Arabidopsis thaliana: one gene and its partners. The protein of the gene in region 1 interacts with the protein of each later gene in a pairwise test. Each region holds a gene or a part of one and is shown on either strand. Other genes may lie near its edges.

Region 1 (7,363 bases):
TTAAGCTTTGATCGAGACTCGAGAGGAATAATGTTGGTGATCAAACTAATGATGGTCTTCCACTTCACTTGTAATTCTTCCTACAAACATATGAAAAAGCCTTATGAGTAGTAGGTTCGAGCCTTCAAAATCAGAGTTTAATTGTGTTCTAGCATTAATATATACTTCTGATTTTTGTTTTTAGTAAATAATGATGATTATACATTATTTACCAGTTTCCTTTTATAATTCTCTCTTCCATATGCAACCACTATATAATAGATTTTTTTAATAAAAAAAAATTATCTACTAGAGCAATTCCCATACGTACTTGTTTACGAAAAAGGTACTAACTGGCTCACTAAAATTAACGTTGATATTTCGATGAACCATTTTTTTTCGATTCAAAAACATATATTGCTATATTCGTGCATGTGTTTTTAAATATCTAGACTTAAACTACAATTGTTAGAACTTTGATCTAAGTTATTGGTTTGCAAACTACTACTGTAAGGATACTTTGAACTTTTTAGTGTTAGTTTGATATTGTTTCTATGTAACAAAATTTCTTCACCTATTATATATGTATATGTTTATTTTGTTGGAGTTTCATAAGTCTAAAGTAAAATATTCAGGGGAAAAAAAAAACTATTTGGTGAAAGTGTTTGTCCTTGGAAAGGAAAGATGTACAAGATACGAAAATACCTTTGCTTCGCTTTGCTTCCAATACACTGCCATTTGTCAACAACATGCTCAATCGAAAATTCGAACGTACGTAAATGTGTATGTGGGTGAAGATTATTACGGCCCGAACATAACTCATGTTCAGTATTGGGATTTTTATTTCTAGACTAATACTAAATATTTCGAATAATAATTGTGATCAATAATATATTTTGAATCATACGTAGCGATGGTTGCAAGGGTCTTATCAGAAGCAAAGTTGGTCTCTAGAGTCCCCACCTTCTCCTATGTGCAATTTAGCTACTCCTTCAGTCCTCTGATTGACACATGTTCCCACCTGTCTTTGTTTTTCCAAGTCTTAATGAAGCTTAGAAGTTAATTAATTAAATCATTTTAACCTTGCACCATCTCTCGGATCTTATTAATTATGCATATTATTATTCCTTCATCTAAACCATATAATATTTCCTCACATATACGAGTTTCTTTTACTTTATTAGATTCTGAATTATTATCAAAATTAAGAAAATTAAGTAAAATAAAAAATGTGAACATTTAATATTTTGTTGAATTTTGTAATCTGGATCATATGCTCAAATGTACATAACCCATTTTCTTTATAAAAAAAAGTCAAAAACTAATATTTCGAATAATCAATAAATAAATACAAATTCAAAACACAAGTTTGGTGGAAGCAGTTCTTGAAAAGACCTCCGAACTTTGCAAATTGCAAGCGAAGTTTGAATCAATGTATTGAGCTTACCTGTATTTTTCCAAAAAAAAGAGGCTTACCTGTCTTGCTATGTTACCTTATCTTCACCTTACTTTGCCACCAAGGTTTTAAACGTTGTACATTAGTATTGTCAATTGTTAATAGTAACGGTTGCTTTGTTACTAAGATACTTTCATCTTTGATGAATACTATTCATGAAGAAGTATATTATTGTTAACTAATCATAGTTATTCATGGATGCATGCGTACATCATTTTACCTTTCTCCAGCTGTACAATATGTACATGCAATAAAACATAGTAATATATTTCTTTCCACTATATATATATATTGAATTCAATGACTTAAAACCTTTCAAAAAAATATTTTTGCTTATATAATCAAGTGAGTTATTGGTAAAGTGTATCTTTATTTTGAAAAAAAAACTCATTATTTTGAAAATAAATTATGGTTCTCTTTACAAAGAAATGATCAAAGTTTGGTGGACATATATATGTCAATCATAAGAGAGTCACAAACTGAGAATGGAGTTTAAACTAAAGAGCTACAATATTATCCACAATTTAAAACATTTTATTAAAATCACGATAACTTCAAAAAGAGAAAATCAAAAATTAACTTTGTTAAAAAGGTGGGTATGAAAAATACAATTTTCTTATTTCCTAACAAAAACAAAAATAGAAACAAAGGAAATGTGATATAAGAAGATTAAAAGAGACGTTATGTCTCACCTATATTTGCTCTCTCCTCTTCCTTGTCCAATTCTACTGTCCCAATCCATCAGTTTTATATGGCAAACTCTCCCGCTGCTCCTGCACCCACCACCACAACCGGTGGTGACTCCCGGCGACGCCTCTCCGCGTCCATGTAAGTGTATAGTATAATACTCTCTAAGTAATGATTAAAAAAATCTGAACAAAATCGTCTAATTGTGGCTTTGTGTGTGTTTAAGCAGAGAAGCAATATGCAAGAGGAGATTCCGGAGAAATAGCAAAGGAGGTGGCAGATCGGATATGGTGAAACCGTTTAATATCATAAATTTTTCGACACAAGACAAAAACAGTAGTTGTTGTTGTTTCACCAAGTTTCAGATCGTGAAGCTTCTCTTGTTTATCCTTCTCTCTGCCACTCTCTTCACCATTATCTATTCTCCTGAAGCTTATCATCATTCTCTTTCCCACTCATCTTCTCGGTAAATCTATTTCTTTTTTCCATCACCAACATTTACATTCTTGACCTCAAAAATGTTCACATGCAAATTTTTACTTTTGCCTCTATCTCTTATAATACTATCTTAAAATTATGAAATTAGATGGATATGGAGAAGACAAGATCCACGTTACTTCTCGGATCTGGATATAAACTGGGACGATGTGACTAAAACCCTTGAGAACATCGAAGAAGGCCGTACGATCGGTGTCTTGAATTTTGATTCGAACGAGATCCAACGATGGAGAGAAGTATCCAAGAGCAAGGACAATGGGGATGAAGAAAAAGTTGTTGTATTGAATCTAGATTACGCAGACAAGAATGTGACTTGGGACGCACTATATCCAGAGTGGATCGATGAGGAGCAAGAAACAGAGGTCCCTGTTTGTCCTAATATCCCGAACATTAAGGTACCTACAAGAAGACTCGATCTGATCGTCGTGAAACTTCCTTGTCGGAAAGAAGGGAATTGGTCGAGAGACGTCGGGAGATTGCATCTACAGCTAGCGGCTGCAACTGTGGCGGCTTCGGCCAAAGGGTTTTTCAGGGGACATGTGTTTTTTGTATCTAGATGCTTTCCGATTCCGAATCTTTTCCGGTGTAAAGATCTTGTGTCTCGGAGAGGCGATGTTTGGTTGTACAAACCTAATCTTGATACCTTGAGAGACAAGCTTCAGCTGCCTGTAGGGTCTTGTGAGCTATCTCTTCCTCTTGGCATCCAAGGTAGAATAAAAATGACTCCCGAAATTACTTGTTTAGATTTGAAAACAAATTTGAAAAATCGTCGCTAAGTTAACTAGTGTCTGTTTTCTTCCATGAATTTTACAGATAGGCCAAGCTTAGGAAACCCTAAAAGAGAAGCTTACGCAACAATTCTTCACTCAGCTCACGTTTACGTCTGCGGTGCAATCGCCGCGGCTCAGAGCATAAGACAGTCTGGTTCGACGAGAGACCTTGTTATCCTTGTTGATGACAACATCAGCGGTTACCACCGGAGTGGACTAGAAGCCGCGGGTTGGCAAATCCGGACGATACAGAGGATTCGAAACCCTAAGGCAGAGAAAGATGCTTACAACGAATGGAACTACAGCAAGTTCCGGCTATGGCAGCTGACTGATTACGACAAAATCATTTTCATCGACGCGGATCTCTTAATCTTGAGAAACATCGATTTCTTGTTCTCGATGCCTGAGATCTCAGCTACAGGAAACAATGGAACTCTGTTTAATTCAGGAGTTATGGTGATCGAGCCTTGCAACTGTACGTTTCAGCTTCTGATGGAACATATAAACGAGATTGAGTCTTATAACGGTGGAGATCAAGGTTACTTAAACGAGGTATTCACATGGTGGCACCGGATTCCAAAACATATGAATTTCTTGAAGCATTTTTGGATTGGCGATGAAGATGACGCGAAACGCAAGAAAACAGAGCTTTTTGGAGCAGAGCCTCCTGTTCTTTATGTTCTTCATTACCTTGGGATGAAGCCGTGGTTATGTTACCGTGACTACGACTGTAACTTCAACTCCGACATATTCGTTGAGTTTGCTACCGATATCGCTCATCGAAAATGGTGGATGGTCCACGACGCCATGCCACAGGTGATTCACTCTCTCCTAAAAACCTTAATAGAACTCAAAAATCACATAATATTTTCAATCTCATATTGTGATCAATATTCAAAATATTATTAGGCGTTTAGTCATGCGTTGAGAGACTAACTGCATAGCATTATTTCTTTCTCAAAAATTTCCAAAACTTGAAAAAATAAATAAACTAAAAATTACTTACTACCCAAGTTTAGAATAACCATATGAAATTTGAATATACGAAAATCTTGGTGGGTTAGTAAATGCAGAATTAGCCCCCTACGCAGTAGGCATCAAGTTTTAATGTCTATGTTTTATACACCTTATAAAAAAATCATTTCAAATTTTCTTTCTTTATGATTAGTTTAAAAAAACATTGGTTGGCAGAAATATAAAAATAGTTAGACGTTTTCCCAAATTATTCTAAAATTGTGACGGTTAGTAATTACCATATATGATATTTTGCAGGAACTTCACCAATTCTGTTACTTGCGATCCAAGCAAAAGGCACAGCTGGAATATGATCGCCGGCAAGCAGAGGCCGCAAATTATGCCGACGGTCATTGGAAAATAAGAGTAAAGGACCCGAGATTCAAAATTTGCATCGACAAATTATGTAATTGGAAAAGTATGCTGCGGCATTGGGGCGAATCAAATTGGACTGACTACGAGTCTTTTGTTCCCACCCCACCAGCCATTACCGTAGACCGGAGATCATCACTTCCCGGCCATAACTTGTGACGCAATAATTATACATACTTATTAATGGATTTCATGAGTTTTTTGGTTTGAATTGTTGCTGCGAGATTAGGTGAATATCAGTTGTGTAACTATATCTTTTTCCTATAGTTTGTTCAAATTGAATAAAACATTTTTTTGCAGTTTAACCACAAAATAAAACATATGTCGTATTTATATGCCATTTTTGTATACAAACACAAACTCAAAAATGTTAGTAACATTCAAATAGTTTATACAGAAACGATAGATTATAGACTTACATATAGCCAAACAACACAAATTAATTGATGTAACTAAACATATGTAGTATAATTAAACTTTCGAAAAATCCAAATTTTTAGTCGAATCGCAGTGTAGTATGTATACATTACGTATAGTATATAAATCTATGTGTGTGTATATCAGTGTATGTATTTGTGTATGTATGTACATGTGAAAAGAATCTCTACTAAAGATTTCCATAATATTCAACCAAAAACCAAAGTTTTCCTTATTAGTAAAACTACACCTTCGTTAAACATATAAATTGATTCTATGAGAAAAAAGTATATTAAAAAAGGCAATGAAATCTTCACCGCTTTCATTATTGATTCGTCATTAATTACCGAGCGAGACCAAAAATAGAAATTCTCGAACTAAGGGTTTTATATATTCGCAAACAATGATCACCACCTCTTCATTCAATTCACAGAGAATATACACAACCATGGCTTCTTCTTCGTCCTCTTCTCTTTCGTTTTCAACATCGAAGAAGAACAAAACCTTTTTCAAGAAACCTAATTCTGCTTTTTCTTCTTCGAGGGCCACAAGTTTGATCAAAAGACAACAGACTGTCTTTAAGAAAGCTAAAGAGCTTTCAATTCTCTGTGACATCGATGTCTGCGTCATCTGTTACGGATCAAACGGAGAGCTTAAGACATGGCCTGAAGAGAGAGAGAAGGTCAAAGCCATAGCTCGAAGGTACGGTGAATTAAGCGAGACGAAGCGTCGCAAAGGAAGCGTTGATCTTCACGAGTTCCTCGAGAAGATGAACAAGGATGATCCCGAGAAGGAGGAGAAGAAGAAGATTAAAGTGAGACGTGTACCCAAAGTCAAGTATCCAGTTTGGGACCCTAGGTTTGACAATTACTCTGTGGAGCAACTCATGGGACTGGTTCAGTCCTTGGAACGAAACCTAACCAGGATCCAACATAGGACTTGCGCTGTTGTTGAAGCTCAGGGGCAGAGGAGGGTACAGTACACGAACATGGCTAATCAAGAACTGATGATGGCTAATACGATGAATCAACTTCAACAACACTCAAACCAGGTTTCCATGTATCTGTGGAACCATGGAAACGGTGCTTTCTCACAAATCCCAGTCTCAGCATTGGCTTCAAACCAAACGCAATCTCTAGCTCCGATTCCGCCTGAACTGATGATTTACCCGAATTCGGATGCGGGAAATTACTCGGGGTCTCTCGGGGTACAAGGAACTGGGATCAATGGGCTTCAGAACATGAACATGTTAACCTATAACAACATCAACAGCGTTAATGATTTCTCAAAACAGTTTGACCAGAATTCCAGAGCGGAAAGTTACTCTAGCTTACTTGGGGTACACGAAGACGGAAACAATGAGTTTGAGAACCCTAACATGTCCAGCCGCAACAACTTCAATGTTCAAGACTGTGCAGGGTTACTTGGGATGCAAGGAGCTGGAACTAACGGGTTGCAGAGCATGAACATGCATGACTACAGTAACAACAACAGCATTAACTCTAATGGTCTTTCGCATCAGTATGTTCAATTTCCAACGTACAACAGCCAACATCAGGACCGGGTTTTCAATTTGGATCAAAACGGAAACAATACTAGGTCTCTCTAAGATCTATCACAATCTCTCTTATAGCTTCATAATTTTTGGTTTTTAATATCTCCTAGTTATATAACTAAGAAGCATATATATTTATAACTTTTGGTTAGTGCAATTATCAGTTTGAGACAGTATATCGATCTCCAAGTTTTCGATTATGTCTACTTTTATTTATTAGTGTAATGTGACTAAAAGACTAATAATGTCTCCCATGCTAGTGACTCTTTTCTTATACTACTTCTTTTTTTTGTTATCCTGAGATTCTTTTGTTTGTTATATTTATTGCTGAGAATTAAGACTAGTAATGTCTCCCATGTTAGTGACACTTTTCCTATACTTCCTCTTTTGTTATTCTGAGATTTTTTTTGGTTTGTTATACTTATTGCCGAGAATTTGATTATACGATTAATGTTTGATGAATAAAAAAACCCTAGGCAAGCTTTTAAGTTTTAAGACGGGTAAAGTAAAACACAATCAGAAATTACTTAAGCTAAAAAAATACTTTAGCAGCTCTCTCCAATCATATGTCCTCGCATTAAAAAGGGAAAAAGGTCAAAGAAATGAAAAATAGAA
Region 2 (8,129 bases), about 12 Mb from region 1:
CAAAAGACTTGAGAAAACTAAAAGCAAGAAACAAACAATTGAGATTGTTTTTTAAAGAGGTTCATATACAAAATCTCTGGGGATAATCGGGACATGATGACATTCAGTTACAAAAATTTCCAAATATGTGTTGTAGAAATTAATATATCACTTTTTTTTCTTTTTTTGAATCATTGTAATGTAAAATTTATTAAAAAGTCTTTGGTTACAATATATGCAGCTTTAAGCATAACGTTTTTTGAGTTTCAGAAAATTAATATATCACTTTGTATAGTAATGTACGAAAAAATTCATCAAGAACTATGTACGGTTACATATCAAGATGTTATGGTCTAATGTGTGTTTACCGGTTGATAAAATGTTATTTGGTAGCTAATATTCAGCTAACCCTAGTTTTTGTTTTATTTGAGAGTCAGATAATCATGTATATATAACTTTTGCAAAAATAAAAATTGAAATAATGAGAAAATATTACTTTACTATTATCATTCATATATATATAACACACCAAAAAAAAAATCATATATATATATATATATATCCAAAAACAAATCACTTACTTAATTCTGTATTTTATCCAGAATCATTATGAATTAACACACCAAAAAAAAATCATATATATATATATATATATATCCAAAAAAAATCACTTACTTAATTCTGTATTTTATCCAGAATCATTATGAATACCAACTTGATTTTGATGGTCTTAATTAATTATTTGATATTCTATTTTTTTGTCGTTATTTGATATTCTATTTAGATTGACTAGTTTTCTTGTGATCATTTGATAATCCACGTCGTTTTGTTTTCACCTTCAAATTTTTTTATTGATCACCATGTTTTTTGGAATACACAAAGTAGTAAATGTTTCATAATCATGTGAGACCTAGGGTTTTAATTTTCAACTTGATTATTTAAGTTTAGTTATTCCTTACTAATTTAACTACCATTTTCTTGACATTCATACCAAAGACAAATAATTAACTAAAGTTTTGTTCGTTTTCGGAAGAAAAGTTTAAGAAAACATCAAGTGGACTCACACACACCGACTTAAGTGGAGAAGGTGATGAAAGTATTGGGCCCATAAGAAACTGCGGCTGCTCGTGGCTTTTGGCATTAAACACGAATCTTGCTAATGTTATTTTATTCTCATTATACTTGATGGATTCATGTTTATCCATCCATATTGTTATATTGTATTCCCCAAATTTTTAAAAAGCGAATTCGTCTAGTATAGTTAGCTCCATAGTTTAAAAGTAGAAAAAGAAATTTAGCTCCATAAATTTTGTAACTCATGATTAGACACTAATTAGATGTAAAAAACAGACGAGATTGAACGAATGATGATACCCGGTTGTTGATAAAACTTGAAATGGTCAGAACTAAAAACTTATATTTTTCAAAAATAACATAAAGAGTCCGGTGGTCGGAAAAGGAAAGGAGAGTGACGTGGACCACAAGCAATTGTTTGCCCACTAGTGACTGGCTGGTCGAAAGTATATTTAAAATATGTCCCACTTCATAAGATCTTCAAATCACTTCTTCTGTTCCAACAACAATCCATTCTCATTTCAACGTTTCAAAAGCAAACATGTTATTGGTCAATTTCATTGTTTCTACGCCATCATCCATAGAGCAACAATACCTTGTTGTTTTTATTAAACAAAATGTGAAGAAGAATAGAAGAACAATAAAAAAAGAGTGCTTTTGAAGATTCCACGAAGGTATGAAGTGTGACATAAACGGCTCTTTGCGTCGTCCAAAAGCCGCCTCCCCCAAAAGCTTTCCCTTTATAACCCCAACTTTTTGGGTTCAACCCAACTACATGCATTATATAATGCATATCTACTCTATACATACAATTACTTATATTATGTAATGCACCTTGTTTAATCTTTTTTAGAGTTTGTATTCATCCGGAGAATGTGTGGTAGACTAATCTTAAACATAGAAAGAAACACATGAAGATGTACATATGCCATTGAGAGTGTTGCGAAGAAGACCGTTGCAGTACTAGTATAGGATAATTTGAGATATCACAAAAAGATCATCACATCTCGAGGAATACGTACTATTGTGTTATACTATTACTAGGTATCATTAAACCATTGAATAACAAATGTAGTATCGAAAGACAATAAACCTGGAGATAATAAATGCTAATATTTTGTTTTGCGAGTAGTAATCAAGATGATTATCAAAATAGCAAGTTGTGTATGATTGTGTGTACATTACAACATGTTGGTCCTTAAAGAATCGAAATATGTTGGGTGCGAAGACTTTGCCGGTGCTTTGGATTTGGAGAGATGTATATTTTGACTCCGATTCGTGATTATTATTATTAATGTTGAATATGTCGATAAAAACAAATAATTTAGTAGCTAATAAGTATTGATTTATCGTACACATTATCATTGTTATCTTTTAATTTGAATTCGATGAGAATGATGATTAATTGATTATGAACTAAAAATAAAATAGTACACCACCGACGAATTATATCATTATTCTCTATTACTTTGGATAATTTCTCATAATTAAAGAGAGAAATAAATCACGTAATTTGCTACATTTCACAAAATATTAAGGGCTATTAATCCAAAAAAGGCCACAACAAAAAGTTACTCGAAATTACATTTTTAACCCTCATAACAAAAACGACGCCGTTCAAGCGAAGAGATTGAGCAACTTTGTCGTTGCTCCTCCTCCTCCTCCGCCGCAGCGTACGTACCGATCACCGGCGTTGTTGTTTTGAAACGAAACCGTGGTAACAGACTCCTCCGAGTACATCGACGGTGTATCTTCCTTAAACGGCAAGGTTTTAATCGGATAAATAGGAATAAGAGAGAGATCAAGCTCCGACGAAGGTTGTTGTTCCGACGATAATCGTTTCCGTTTCGGCGGAGAAGCTGTTGATCTTGATCTAGATCTAGAGCTTGAGAATCGGCAGTGATGATAAATGTTCCGATCACCGGAATCATCAGCTTTTCGTAGATTCAACATTTCCGTACAGATCTCCGAAGCTTCGTCGGAAGTAGGAGACGGAAACCCGGCGAATCCACCGCCGTTAAGAAGCTCCGGTATTGGTTTTAAAGAACCACCACGAAGCACCGTCTCAACCGCCGCTTGACAAACATTCCAATTCCCCGTCCACAACAATCCGACGGCTCCGTTCACCGGATTCACAGTTCTCCCACAAGCTTCGTATAGCAAAGACTGAAACAAAGCTGTAAAAAGACCAAATACCCTTACCATCAGAAACCAAAACGACAACGTTTAGACGAAGATCTAAAGGACCGAGAGGTTTTTGTTTTTAAGTACCAGGGCATTGAGATTCCGGTACGGCGGAGATGAAAGACATTAAACCGGCACGGCCGAAGAACTTAGCGACGAAGACGGTGGCGTGGCCTTGAGCTTCAGGTGATTCGATCCATTGAATACATGGACGGAGGATGCAATTCTCACTGCAACCTTTTCGTAGAACTCGACAACCATTGCAACTCATTATTTTCAGAAATCTTTTAAGTTAGTATTTTATCTTTGGTTTTGCTATAATCTTGGAGATTCAAAAAGCTTTTGGTACAAGAAAGAGAAAGAGAGAGAGTGGGACAAAGTGTTTCAATGTTTGGTTGAAGAAGAAGAGTTATGTAATATTTATAGACAATAGACATTGATACTTGAGTGAAGGAATGGGTCATGGCTTTGAGATTTTATTATATTTTAATAAAAATTGGATAATAATCAAAGTTTAAAGAGCCCTACCAAATTACAAAATAGAATGATTGCTACAAAATATATTTATTTTATCATTAACTGAATTTAATTTATGCTATAGTTTATACAAAAAAAAATGTTATGTTAGGTTTAATTATGAAAGTTAAAAATGGTGTGTGGTTGTTGACTAGTTGGTGATGAGGAGAGAGGAAGAAAGAGAGATTCCAAGGTGATGGGTGCGAACGGCTCCGTGTCCCCGCGAATAGTTGCCTCCTCAACCATTGGTTCTTTTTTTCTTTCTTTATAAATTTCTCATTTCTATTCTTTTTCATATTCTTTACTTGCTTCATTTCTATATAAATGTTTGCGTCATGCATGAACGATCTCGATTATTTGATGGCAGATCTCAATTCTATCTATCCAGTGTTTATTCGTTGACAAATTTTTCGAATCTTCATGTCTCAAACAAAAATCAGTGTGATTAACATATATTATCGATTATCGGTGTAAAGAAAAGAAAAAAACCTAGCTTCTCATCTAACAACAACAAAAAAAACACATAGATTCTCAAATGAAATAACGCACTTCAATTTCAAAATTGAGATTTATAACTAATTAGATCATATTCTCTCTAGTTCGCTATTATTTGTTGAGCTATATAAGTGCCTCTCTTAAACTATTGGTCTCTATGAGTTTTATAAATATAGATATGGTTCATTCGTTCATGCAGTACGTATACTTTGTAAACAATTTATTTATGAAACCAATGAGATTGTTTTGTTTAGGGTTAAGGCTAAGCTGACCCTTCAACGAAACAAATCCACTACCTGACCCTTAAATCAACCTTAAGGGTTTTGATAATTTAATATGAAAAATGTTTTAGAAGAAAGATAGAGGCGTTTTTTTGCCTACGATGCTGTCTCACGTGTGTGACCAAATCAAACATTTCTTTTCTCCTTTACATTAGCTAGTAACAAAATCAAATATATGATGAACAGAAGATCTACAACAAAATGATATTAATAAGTCAAAGTGTCTTCTTCTACTTTCCTATAGCAATGCGGTGAAACGGCGCCGTTCATGGCTTACGTGGTGTGCTTACCTACACTCCAATTAGGCAAATTTTCCACTGAATGCCGCCGTCTCTTTATATTTCTTTATTCCCAATTACTTCAGTCCATTAGTAATTTAAAAATGCATTATTGTTTCGTTGAACTTCTGGTACCTAAAGTTCATTTGCTTAATTAGTCGACACAAGACACTTGAACGCGACAGTTTTGATCAACAACGACATAAAATTGGTGTTAAACAGATGCTTAGATGTTCGATAAATCAACTACTTATTTTTACAACGGTATTCCTATTTTAAATATCAATCTTATAACATAATTTCAATCTCAATTTTTGAAAATTAGTATTGTTTTGTGGCCCTTCTTCCAAAAATTTATTTTCTGAAGTGAATGCAACAAGATAGATTTTACCTTTATATATTTAGTAAAATCAATGTTATAAAATAGATTATAAGTTAGACGTACGGCAGAACACAATAGAAAAAATATTATATATACTTCAATGTTTATGATGTACAGTGGGAAGTCATATTGCATACAATAGAAAAACCAAAACTATTTCTTTGAAAACAGAACAAAAACAATGTATGAGACTTGTAAACTATTGAGAAGAAATGAAAGAAATTGTCAAATAGAGGTTGCACAAATTGCATTCCTACTTACATTCATTGATGTTCATTATATTATGCTATAAAACCTAATTACATGGTTAGATAAGGTGGGTTTGTGGACTTGTATTTCATGAGTCTATGGACTTGTGTTGGGCTTTAACATGTCCTCTTTCACGTTGAGTTCTAAATGATTAAATACTGGGCTGTTAATTGGGATATAATTTCTCAGCTATAAGAGCCGGTACACTATGTCACTATGGGCTCTACTGCATTTTTCGTATGGTCCAAAGTCCAAACAATGAGTCTTTGGTAAATTAATAGTTTAACACCACTTTAACGGTACCATGCCAAAACTAATTTGGATGTTATTGTAACGCTCGAGGGCCTTATTAGGCCTTATTACAAGCTAATAAGCTATATACTATGCCCACAAAAATTGGTGAAATTCTTTAGTTTCTAAGTTTCTAGCAATATAAGAAGACAATAGTACAAAGAGAATGAATGACCAAATCTTACAGACTTATAACACAAGCATTAGGTTATAGCCTAATAGGTAATGTAAGATGTAAGTATAAGCAGTAAGCTGCACGACATATTTTCCGTCTTATTTAGCAAGGTATTATTATTATTTTTTCCCACACCATTTTAGATTTAAAATTTTTGCTTTTGTCTTTTCAAAGCCAAATCTTAATTTGACGAAAAGTTTATACCGAACCGCATAATATCACATATATAAACAACATTTTTAAGGGATGAGTTTTCTGAACTCTAAATAAAAATCGGTTGACAAGAAAAAAACAAATCTTAAAATAATTCCAAAAATTCTTAACCATCAGATACTACAATATAGTTATAAAGAATAATTATAAGTCAATTTTTTGTGCCACCAAAAAAACAATATTTTCCCGGCATTTAATTCAGAAAATACCCAATATCCATATTTTTCTCGGAATGTATAACTACTCTTTTTCTTAGAAGATACATAAGAACTGGGATCGATTAAGACGTGTAAGATATTTATCGTAACAAATTATACAATTAATTAATTATTAAAAGACTCGTAAAACTCGTGAAAACGAAATAATACAGAATTATAAAAATAATTTAAGCGTGGAGGGAAGTGTGAGTGCCAACCAATCAAAGTCGACAAGCCACTTAAGGATTAGCTTCGTTAGGTACTACTAACCGATCTATCACTACTTCAATAATTAATACTAACATAACCCAAAATTAATACTATTTCTCCTATCAAATTATGTTTTTAAATAGAAATCTGAAATGTTTAATCAAATAGTTAAATTCTTAGGAACAGATCACTTCAAGCTGGGAGTGACAGATTCAAAGAAGTGGTTCCTTTGCTTGCGGAAATAGTAAATGAAAAATTAATCAAGTAATGAAGAAAAACAACAGTAGGAAGTTTCCATGAAATAGTAGTTTTCAATTTTCATTAATCCAATTCTTTTTATTATTAACAAAATTAATAATAATTTCAAATATATCCTTTTTTTTTTTTACTTTTTATAAACAAAAACCAACAACGAATAAACATTTGAAGATTATTTTCTTTCCATATACGTAAACAGAAATTAAAATAATCCAAAGTCCACTCCAATCATTTTCATTACAGACTCAGCTAATGATCAACCACTAGCTAATCCCGATCGGTAAAAAATAATAATAATCACAACACCGACTTTGTTTCTTCACCGGAGAGTTGACTTTTTCCAATTGTCTCATCACTAACTTGATCAGCCGGTAAATTTAGGTCAAACTTGTGGCTATTGTCACCGTTACTGTTACCGTTACCACCATCATAGTGACAACGTTTGTGACCACCCAATGCTTGACCAGAGGGAAACGACTTAAAACATATAGAGCAGTTATGAGTCTTCCCACTTTGACCAACTAAACCGTTACTAATATTTCCGTTATTAGTAACGGTTCCGTTACTATTATTAACATCGACACTAACCGGTTTCCGGTGACTTGTTTTGTGTCCACCTAACGCTTGGTAAGACGGGAAAGATTTGCCACAGACGGAACACTTGTAATCTTTCTGATGATCGGACAGTGGAGAAAGAGAGTGATGATCCGACGGTGGAGAGTGATGATCGGAGGAGCCACGAGCGAGCATAAGGAGGCAAAGAGCGAGATACTCTTCTTCAGAAGGAGGAGGGTTTGGTTGATCTATACGGTGACGTTTTGTACGTTTTCTTTTGGTCCATGATTCGAGGTTTTCGGGCTCGGTTTCGTCGAGGCAACGGAGGAAAGGAGGAGGAGCGGTGGTTGTGGTGGTGGAGGTGGGAGAATTGAGAGTGTCGAGAGCCATATGGTGGTGATCTTTGATTAGAAGATGATTGAGAATTGAGAGAGATGATTATAAAAAAAAGAAAAAAAAAGAGAAAGAGAGAGTGAAGTGAGCTGGTGAGGGAGTGAGATGAGATGTGAGCACGTCTTTGTTTTAATTTTTTTTGGGTGATTAAGAGTGGGAACGTGGGCTCTAAGTGATCAAGTGGTGCTTCTTCTCTTATTTCTCCATATCCATTAATATCTCATCCTATTTTCATCTTTTATATATTTTTCTTTAACATAAATTTATTTATATAATTGAACTAAATTCTTTCCAAATTTCCAATATATCAAAAATGAACGAAAAAAGAATATTAGAGTTTGATGCAGTCGATGTAGAATCAATGAAATAGAGATGAATTTTGAATGATCAATAATGATA
Region 3 (7,646 bases), on another chromosome or scaffold:
CAATAATCAATCATATGAAGAAGAGAGTGGAACAAGTCGAGGAGATGGATGTCTTACAGATTCGTTAGATGATGATGCATTTTCAAGCTGTTCATCAAGCAAAGATGCCTCTAGCTCTTTTTCTTCGAAATGGTTACCGATGAAGAATGATGAACACAGTTGCGATGGTTTGAACTTATCTGGAAGGTCTCAACATTTTGATGCTAAGGAGAAGAAGAAACAAGGCTATGGCAGTAGCCAACATTTTGATGCTAAGGAGAAACCAGGGTATGTGTACTGTCATTTGGATGTGGAAGCTATGAAGGAGAAATTTTCTAAGTTATTGCTCGGCGAAGATGTCACTGGGGGATGTAAGGGTGTCCAAGTAGCTTTGGCTTTGTCAAATGCTGTAACACATCTTGCTAGTATGTTTTACAATTTCCTAGCATTCTTAAGCTTTATGTTCTTTGATATGGTTAGAGGTTTCGTGTGAACTGTTAAGAGTAACTGACTTTAATGAATTTGCAGCGTCGATTTTTGGCGAGCTCTGGAAATTGGAACCTTTGTGTGAAGAGAAGAAACAGAAATGGAGAAGGGAAATGGATTGGCTACTTTCTCCAACTAACTACATGATTGAGTTAGTCCCTTCTAAGCAAAATGATGCCAATGGAAGATCACTTGAGGTACGTAGCTAAGGTGTTAAAATAAATAGATATACTCCAGAGGAAGAAACTGAGCTGAATCCTTGTTTTAACAGATAATGACTCCGAAAGCCCGCGCAGACATTCATATGAATCTCCCAGCTCTTCAGAAGTTGGACTCAATGCTAATTGTGAGCGGATTATCTCTTTTGTTAATCTTGTCTTTTCTTATTCTTCTATTTCCTGATCTGATTAAAGTTGCATTACAACTCCACAGGAGACACTGGATTCTATGGTGAACACAGAGTTTTGGTATTCTGAGATTGGTAGTAGAGCTGAAGGGAAGAACAAGAGTACAAGTGAGAGCAAACGATGGTGGCTTCCATCGCCACAAGTGCCTAAACCTGGACTCTCTAACTCAGGAAGGAAGAAATTGCTTGACAAAGGAAAAGTTGTTTATCAAGTCTTCAAAGCTACAAAAGCCATAAACGAAAACATTCTTCTTGAAATGCCAGTTCCCATTGTTATCAAGGAAGCAATACCTAAAGTAAGCTTGCACTCTTTATTATCCCTTGTGATAGTCATAATTATACAACTACCTCTAAAATCTTGTTTTGTAACAGTCTGGAAAGAACAGCCTCGGTGATGAACTGTACAAGATGTTGGCTGTGGAATCTGCAACAGTAGATGAAATCTTTATATCGCTCAATCTGGGAACCGAACATGCAGCACTCGAGACAGTTAACAAGTTAGAATCTGCTATGTTTGCTTGGAAAGAAAGGATTACAGAACAAGGCAGCAATGGTAAATCCCCTGTAAGAGCATCGTGGTCATTCGCTAAAGATCCGTTGTCTGAAATTGGTCGCAATGAGTCACTCTTGAACCGAGCAGAAGCGCTTAGAACTCAGATCAAATCCAAACACCCTAATCTCCCTCACTCGTTTCTTGATGCTACAAAGATCCAATATGACAAGGTATAAATAAACAAAACTAACTACATCTTTCTTAGTCCAATGGTCTGAAACATCTTTCTTCTCTGTGTTCAGGACATAGGTCATGCGGTTCTCGAAGCATATTCCCGAACACTTGCGAATCTAGCTTTCCGGATTCTTTCAAGAATGGGAGAAATCTTGAAAGAAGATTCTTTAAGCAACCCTAACTCTCCTGCACCACCGAGTTGCTTCCCTAGCTCCCGTGACCCTTATAGGACACCTGAGAGACCTCTGCTTTCGTCCCGTGTAAGGCATTCTTTAACCGATGACATGAACAAAGCCGATGGGACAGAGACTGGTTTAGATTTTTTGTTTGCAGATGCTAAGGCAAGTAATTCAGTGAATACAACTCCAAGTAGAAGCAGTAGACTGTGGTGTTTGAGTAAAGTGCCTTCTGATACTTCTCCTTGATTTAGAGGGTCTTCCTAGTTCGATGCGTGCCACCTGAAGCTTCTCCTTTACTTTGAAGGTTTTAAATTATGAAGCCTGAGATGTTGTAAATGTATTAACATATTGCAGTTAAAGTACGAATTCATACAATTTTGTTCATAACTTCACGGTGAAAAGCAAATTTTTAATCCGGGAAAAAAAATTGATACGATTGATTATGATTAAATTTATTAGTCTCTTCCAGAAAATACTTTACAAAATAAGGTATATTCAAAACAAAAATGTCCAAAACCATAATCTATTTATAATATACTAGACTAGAATCATTTTAATTACTACTTTCTTGAAATCTAATTTGAATCTCAATTAGGTTACTATCCCGACTTCCATCTTTGAATGAAGCATTAGCTGTCATCTCGACAAATGATCAACTAACAGGTATTTTCACCAAGCCACTATCTTTTGCACACTTCCATTAAGTCACTAGCAAGATTGGAGTATAAGAAGTCTTCATTTAGAAGGGATCTATCTTGGTTGGATATGTACATATTATGGGCTTAAGGATAATTTGAAATTAGCACAAAGCCTTAATGAGTTTCCGTTTGTACATACTACCTAATAAGTATAACAAAATGGCAAGCTTCACTTCGTCTATCATCCCGACACTAATGAGGTTTTTTGGGTTGGATTTAAGTTCAACTGTGCCATCCGATACTAACACAAAATATTGTTAAAGGCCAATTATGCTTACTAACTCAAAGAAAATCGAACAGACCATAATTGTTTTCAATATAGCAAGTATAGAGATCAAATGGATCTTGATTACCAAAAAACTGTTCTTGTAAAAAATTTCATATACATATAACTCAATAAGGACCTATAACTTTTCAAAAGATTATTTTACCATATTTAAAAAATCTTTAACTAAACTTTTGAACATGACCTATATATATAGTTCAAACATCCTAACTAGACATATAAATAAAAATGAAAATTATTGGAGGGTCTTAATAAGATACTCCCCCATTATAATCATAACTAAAAAAAAATTTAAGATAGAAAGAAGAGAAAATTTCTCAAATAAGAACTTTGGGTATACTAACTAGAACTTTACAATTGTCTCTTTTTAATTGTTCATTTTTATTTTTAAATTAAAATTATTAAAAATATTAAGACTTTAAAAGTTGGGATACTTTTTTGGGATATGTGAAAACCATTGGAAGTGCTCTAAACCTCTTGTCAAATTTCTAGTTTCAAATATTTACAGCTCATAATTAGCTGGCAGTACAATGAATATTTTAACCAAATTAAGAAAAATATATGCTCCAAAAGGTATAATATATGCATGAATTCATAATTTATCTCTAAAATAACTGATTTTCTTTTATATCCAATCATGATTTTACACGTGTACATTAATTGATACGTTTTAATGTCATAAATAGTCATATTAGTGTATAAGTCAAAAGATGGAAAAAATCCATATATATTATTATATTAATGTATAAAGACAGTTTTACCCTTATTTCCTTTTAATTAAAATCAACTTATTGACTAAACAAAATTAGATGGACCTTCTGGCCATGGCAGATTTTTTAAAAATATTTTATTAAAAATTTAATTCATATAACTAAATCTGTGATTTTAATATTTTATAAGGAAAAATTTCTTTATTACTTTATTATTATTTTTTATATTTTATTATTGTAAAGATAAATTTTTATACATATAAAAGAGCATTTTTTATATATTAAAACATGATAGAAATTTTAATGATATTTATTATTTTATTATATTGGTTTACAAACTTTTTTCTATGTAGGCTTCCTTTAATGTCTACATATTTCAAAATTTTCGCTCGTTCTAAATATTTCGTAAGACACGTTAATTCTTTCCCGAAATAATTTTACTATAGATAAACAAAGTTCCTAAGCTTTTATATATTCATGATTTTACATGGAAATTAAGCTGTAAAACTCTATTCGAAAAGAAAAGAAAAACACTTAAAATATTAGAAATTTTCACAGTTTATCAAAGCTTAATATTACTCTTAAAAGAAAAGTGAGTAATATACGAAGATAAACTATATTTAGTAAAGAGAAAAGAGAATCCAATCTTAGTCATAGCTTTAATTAGTGGCCTAATCAATTAATAAGACAGTAGCCAAAAGATTTAATGCTGTAACTACAAATTAATGAGTCCAGAAACGTGATAAGCCACACCCTGAGTAAAAAATCACCCTTTTCGTTGCTATATAAACAGTCTTGGGCCAAGAAACTAAACAAACACAAACACCAAAGAAAAGAAAAATAAAGATAATGAGGACGAAGACTAAGTTAGTACTCATACCTGATAGACACTTTCGGAGAGCCACATTCAGGAAGAGGAATGCAGGGATAAGGAAGAAACTCCACGAGCTGACAACTCTCTGTGACATCAAAGCATGTGCGGTAATCTACAGTCCGTTCGAGAATCCAACGGTGTGGCCGTCAACCGAAGGTGTTCAAGAGGTGATTTCGGAGTTCATGGAGAAGCCGGCGACAGAACGGTCCAAGACGATGATGAGTCATGAGACTTTCTTGCGGGACCAAATCACCAAAGAACAAAACAAACTAGAGAGTCTACGTCGTGAAAACCGAGAAACTCAGCTTAAGCATTTTATGTTTGATTGCGTTGGAGGCAAGATGAGTGAGCAACAGTATGGTGCAAGGGACCTTCAAGATTTAAGTCTTTTTACTGATCAATATCTTAATCAGCTTAATGCCAGGAAGAAGTTCCTTACAGAATATGGTGAGTCTTCTTCTTCTGTTCCTCCTCTGTTTGATGTTGCGGGTGCCAATCCTCCTGTTGTTGCAGATCAAGCTGCGGTAACTGTTCCTCCTTTGTTTGCTGTTGCGGGTGCCAATCTTCCTGTTGTTGCTGATCAAGCTGCGGTAACTGTTCCTCCTCTGTTTGCTGTTGCGGGTGCCAATCTTCCTGTTGTTGCAGATCAAGCTGCGGTTAATGTTCCTACTGGATTTCATAACATGAATGTGAACCAGAATCAGTATGAGCCGGTTCAGCCCTATGTCCCTACTGGTTTTAGTGATCATATTCAATATCAGAATATGAACTTCAATCAAAACCAACAAGAGCCGGTTCATTACCAGGCTCTTGCTGTTGCGGGTGCCGGTCTTCCTATGACTCAGAATCAGTATGAGCCCGTTCACTACCAGAGTCTTGCTGTCGCGGGTGGCGGTCTTCCTATGAGTCAGTTGCAGTATGAGCCGGTTCAGCCTTATATCCCTACTGTTTTTAGTGATAATGTTCAATATCAGCATATGAATTTGTATCAAAATCAACAAGAGCCGGTTCACTACCAAGCTCTTGGTGTTGCAGGTGCCGGTCTTCCTATGAATCAGAATCAGTATGAGCCGGTTCAGCCCTATGTCCCTACTGGTTTTAGTGATCATTTTCAGTTTGAGAATATGAATTTGAATCAAAATCAACAGGAGCCGGTTCAATACCAAGCTCCTGTTGATTTTAATCATCAGATTCAACAAGGAAACTATGATATGAATTTGAACCAGAATATGAGTTTGGATCCAAATCAGTATCCGTTTCAAAATGATCCATTCATGAATATGTTGACAGAATATCCTTATGAATAAGCGGGTTATGTTGGAGAGCATGCACACATCCCTTTCATGGACGGAAACTACTACAACTACCACCAGCCACCAACCGTTGGTCTTACTTCCACCGGTCACATGCCTTCCACCACCACCACCACCACCAACAACAACAACAACAACAATGTGTGATGTGTTTCAGTAGTGTGCATTTTGTGTTTTGTTTGTTTTAAAAGACCAGTATTTAATTATGCTTTTCCTTTTCAATTAGTTGTTGTAAGAGTTGAAGGTTTTACCTTTAAGTCAGTTCTATTTCAATGAAGTCATTTCTGTTTGGTCACAAATTATTTTTTACGAGCTTTTTGTTCTTAAAATGCATAACTAAATAGATCTGCCAAAATCAGATAGGATTTTGTTTCCAAAAAACATCAATACTTTTCAAGCCTTCATTATGGTTAAATACTTATATGATTAAATATTTTGAAGAGAGTTCAGGACGGAAGTTGTATATATAGGAGGAGAAGTACCATTGAGTATATATACGAGGAGAACCATTGTTGAAATTGGTCGCAGTGAATCACTCTTGAACCGAAAAGAAGCGCTTAGAAATCAGATCAAATCCAAACACTCTAATCTTCCTCACTCGTTTCTTAATGCCACAAAGATCCAATATGGCAATGTAAACATAAACAGAACTAATTACATCTTTCTTAGTTTATGTTCTGAAACATGTCATACTTTACAATACAATTATTTGTCGATATTAAATCCTTCTTCTTTGTTTTCAGGACATTGGTCATGCATGGGCTTCTTGAAGCATATTCCCGAACACTTGCGAATCTTGCTTTCTGGATTCTTTCAAGAATGGGAGAAATCTTGAAAGAGTTATAACTCCCTTGCACCACCGAGTAGCATCCTTAGCTCATGTGACCCTAAAGAGCACCCCAAAGGCCTTTGCTTTGGTCCCGTGTAAGGCCTCTCCGATGGGACAGAGACTGGTTTTCTATTTTTTGTTTGCAGTTGCTAAGGCAGGTAATTCAGTGAATACAACTCCAAGTAGAAGCAGTAGACTGTGGTGTTTAAGTAAAGTGCCTTCTGATACTTCTCCTTGATTTAGAGGGTCTTCCTAGTTCGATGCGTGCCACCTGAAGCTTCTCCTTTAAAAACCGTTTTAAAGACTGTATTAAGATTGAATATGGTTAAATTGATTTGGCTCTTCTGAAAATTTTAAATAAAAAGCTGAGATATTAAGAAAATAAGGTATATTTTAGGATATGCATATATTATGGGCCTAAGGTAATTTGAAATTAACACAAGCCTTAATGTATCTCTATCTGTACCTATCACCTACTAAGTATTCATTAAGATTTTTTTTTAGAAAAATGGCTTCCTAGCGTTCTATTTCAACTATAGGCTTCACTTCGTGTATCATCCCAACACTGACGAGGTTTTTTGGGTTGGATTCAAGTGTGTACTTCAACTAAGAACATATTTTTGGTGACCAGTTATGCTTACTACAACGTTCAGATAAGATCGACTATACCTTGAATTGTTTTAGTATGTGTAAATTAAATACATAGATTAAACGGATCGTGATTACCAAAAAAAGTTCTTATGTATATATATGGACCTTATTTAAGATATCTATAGTTAAACTTTTGAACATGACCTATAACTATAAGTAGCTTAAGTCGCCCCTAACTAAACATATAAATAAACATGAAAATTAGTGTTTTATGGCAGATGAAAGTTATTTATTATCTGAGCCAAAAATATACGGTGAGCTTGAAATAAAATTTAGCATTTAAAGAGAATGGAAATTAAACTACTACTGGATTGAATTATTTACCATTCTCTCATGTAATATCTTCTACTCTATAGTATTTTTATAACTATTTGAAAACATTTAATCAAAAATCAATAAATATGCTATTTATTTTAGAGAAATTTCTACATTTTGTAAATGTAATTGATAAGAAGAGAACCAGTCAAACAAAGTCTAATTAACGATGTGCATTCTTGTTTTTCTTATT

What was found. The genes of interacting proteins can lie anywhere in the genome.
Region 2: the proteins of AGL103 (region 1) and LBD38 interact in a two-hybrid assay, tested with the Arabidopsis thaliana proteins (one large-scale study listed by BioGRID).
Region 3: the proteins of AGL103 (region 1) and AGL92 interact in a two-hybrid assay, tested with the Arabidopsis thaliana proteins (one large-scale study listed by BioGRID).

What each region holds. Positions count from the first base shown.
Region 1 is NC_003074.8:6,416,783-6,424,145, reverse strand, and holds AGL103 (AGAMOUS-like 103), read left to right. Parts: upstream 1-5,641; coding exon 5,642-6,802; downstream 6,803-7,363. Other genes in the region: AT3G18670 (Ankyrin repeat family protein), read left to right, coding at 1-11; PGSIP1 (plant glycogenin-like starch initiation protein 1), read left to right, coding at 2,187-2,263, 2,352-2,588, 2,709-3,328, 3,434-4,206, 4,663-4,935. UniProt on the Arabidopsis thaliana protein: Probable transcription factor that may function in the maintenance of the proper function of the central cell in pollen tube attraction.
Region 2 is NC_003074.8:18,509,844-18,517,972, reverse strand, and holds LBD38 (LOB domain-containing protein 38), read right to left. Parts: upstream 3,708-8,129; 5' UTR 3,509-3,707; coding exon 3,325-3,508; intron 3,231-3,324; coding exon 2,671-3,230; 3' UTR 1,842-2,670; downstream 1-1,841. Other genes in the region: AT3G49930 (C2H2 and C2HC zinc fingers superfamily protein), read right to left, coding at 7,080-7,727.
Region 3 is NC_003070.9:11,320,851-11,328,496, reverse strand, and holds AGL92 (AGAMOUS-like 92), read left to right. Parts: upstream 1-4,320; coding exon 4,321-5,578; intron 5,579-5,668; coding exon 5,669-5,805; downstream 5,806-7,646. Other genes in the region: ROPGEF14 (RHO guanyl-nucleotide exchange factor 14), read left to right, coding at 1-404, 508-662, 737-811, 898-1,167, 1,244-1,594, 1,667-2,023. UniProt on the Arabidopsis thaliana protein: Putative transcription factor.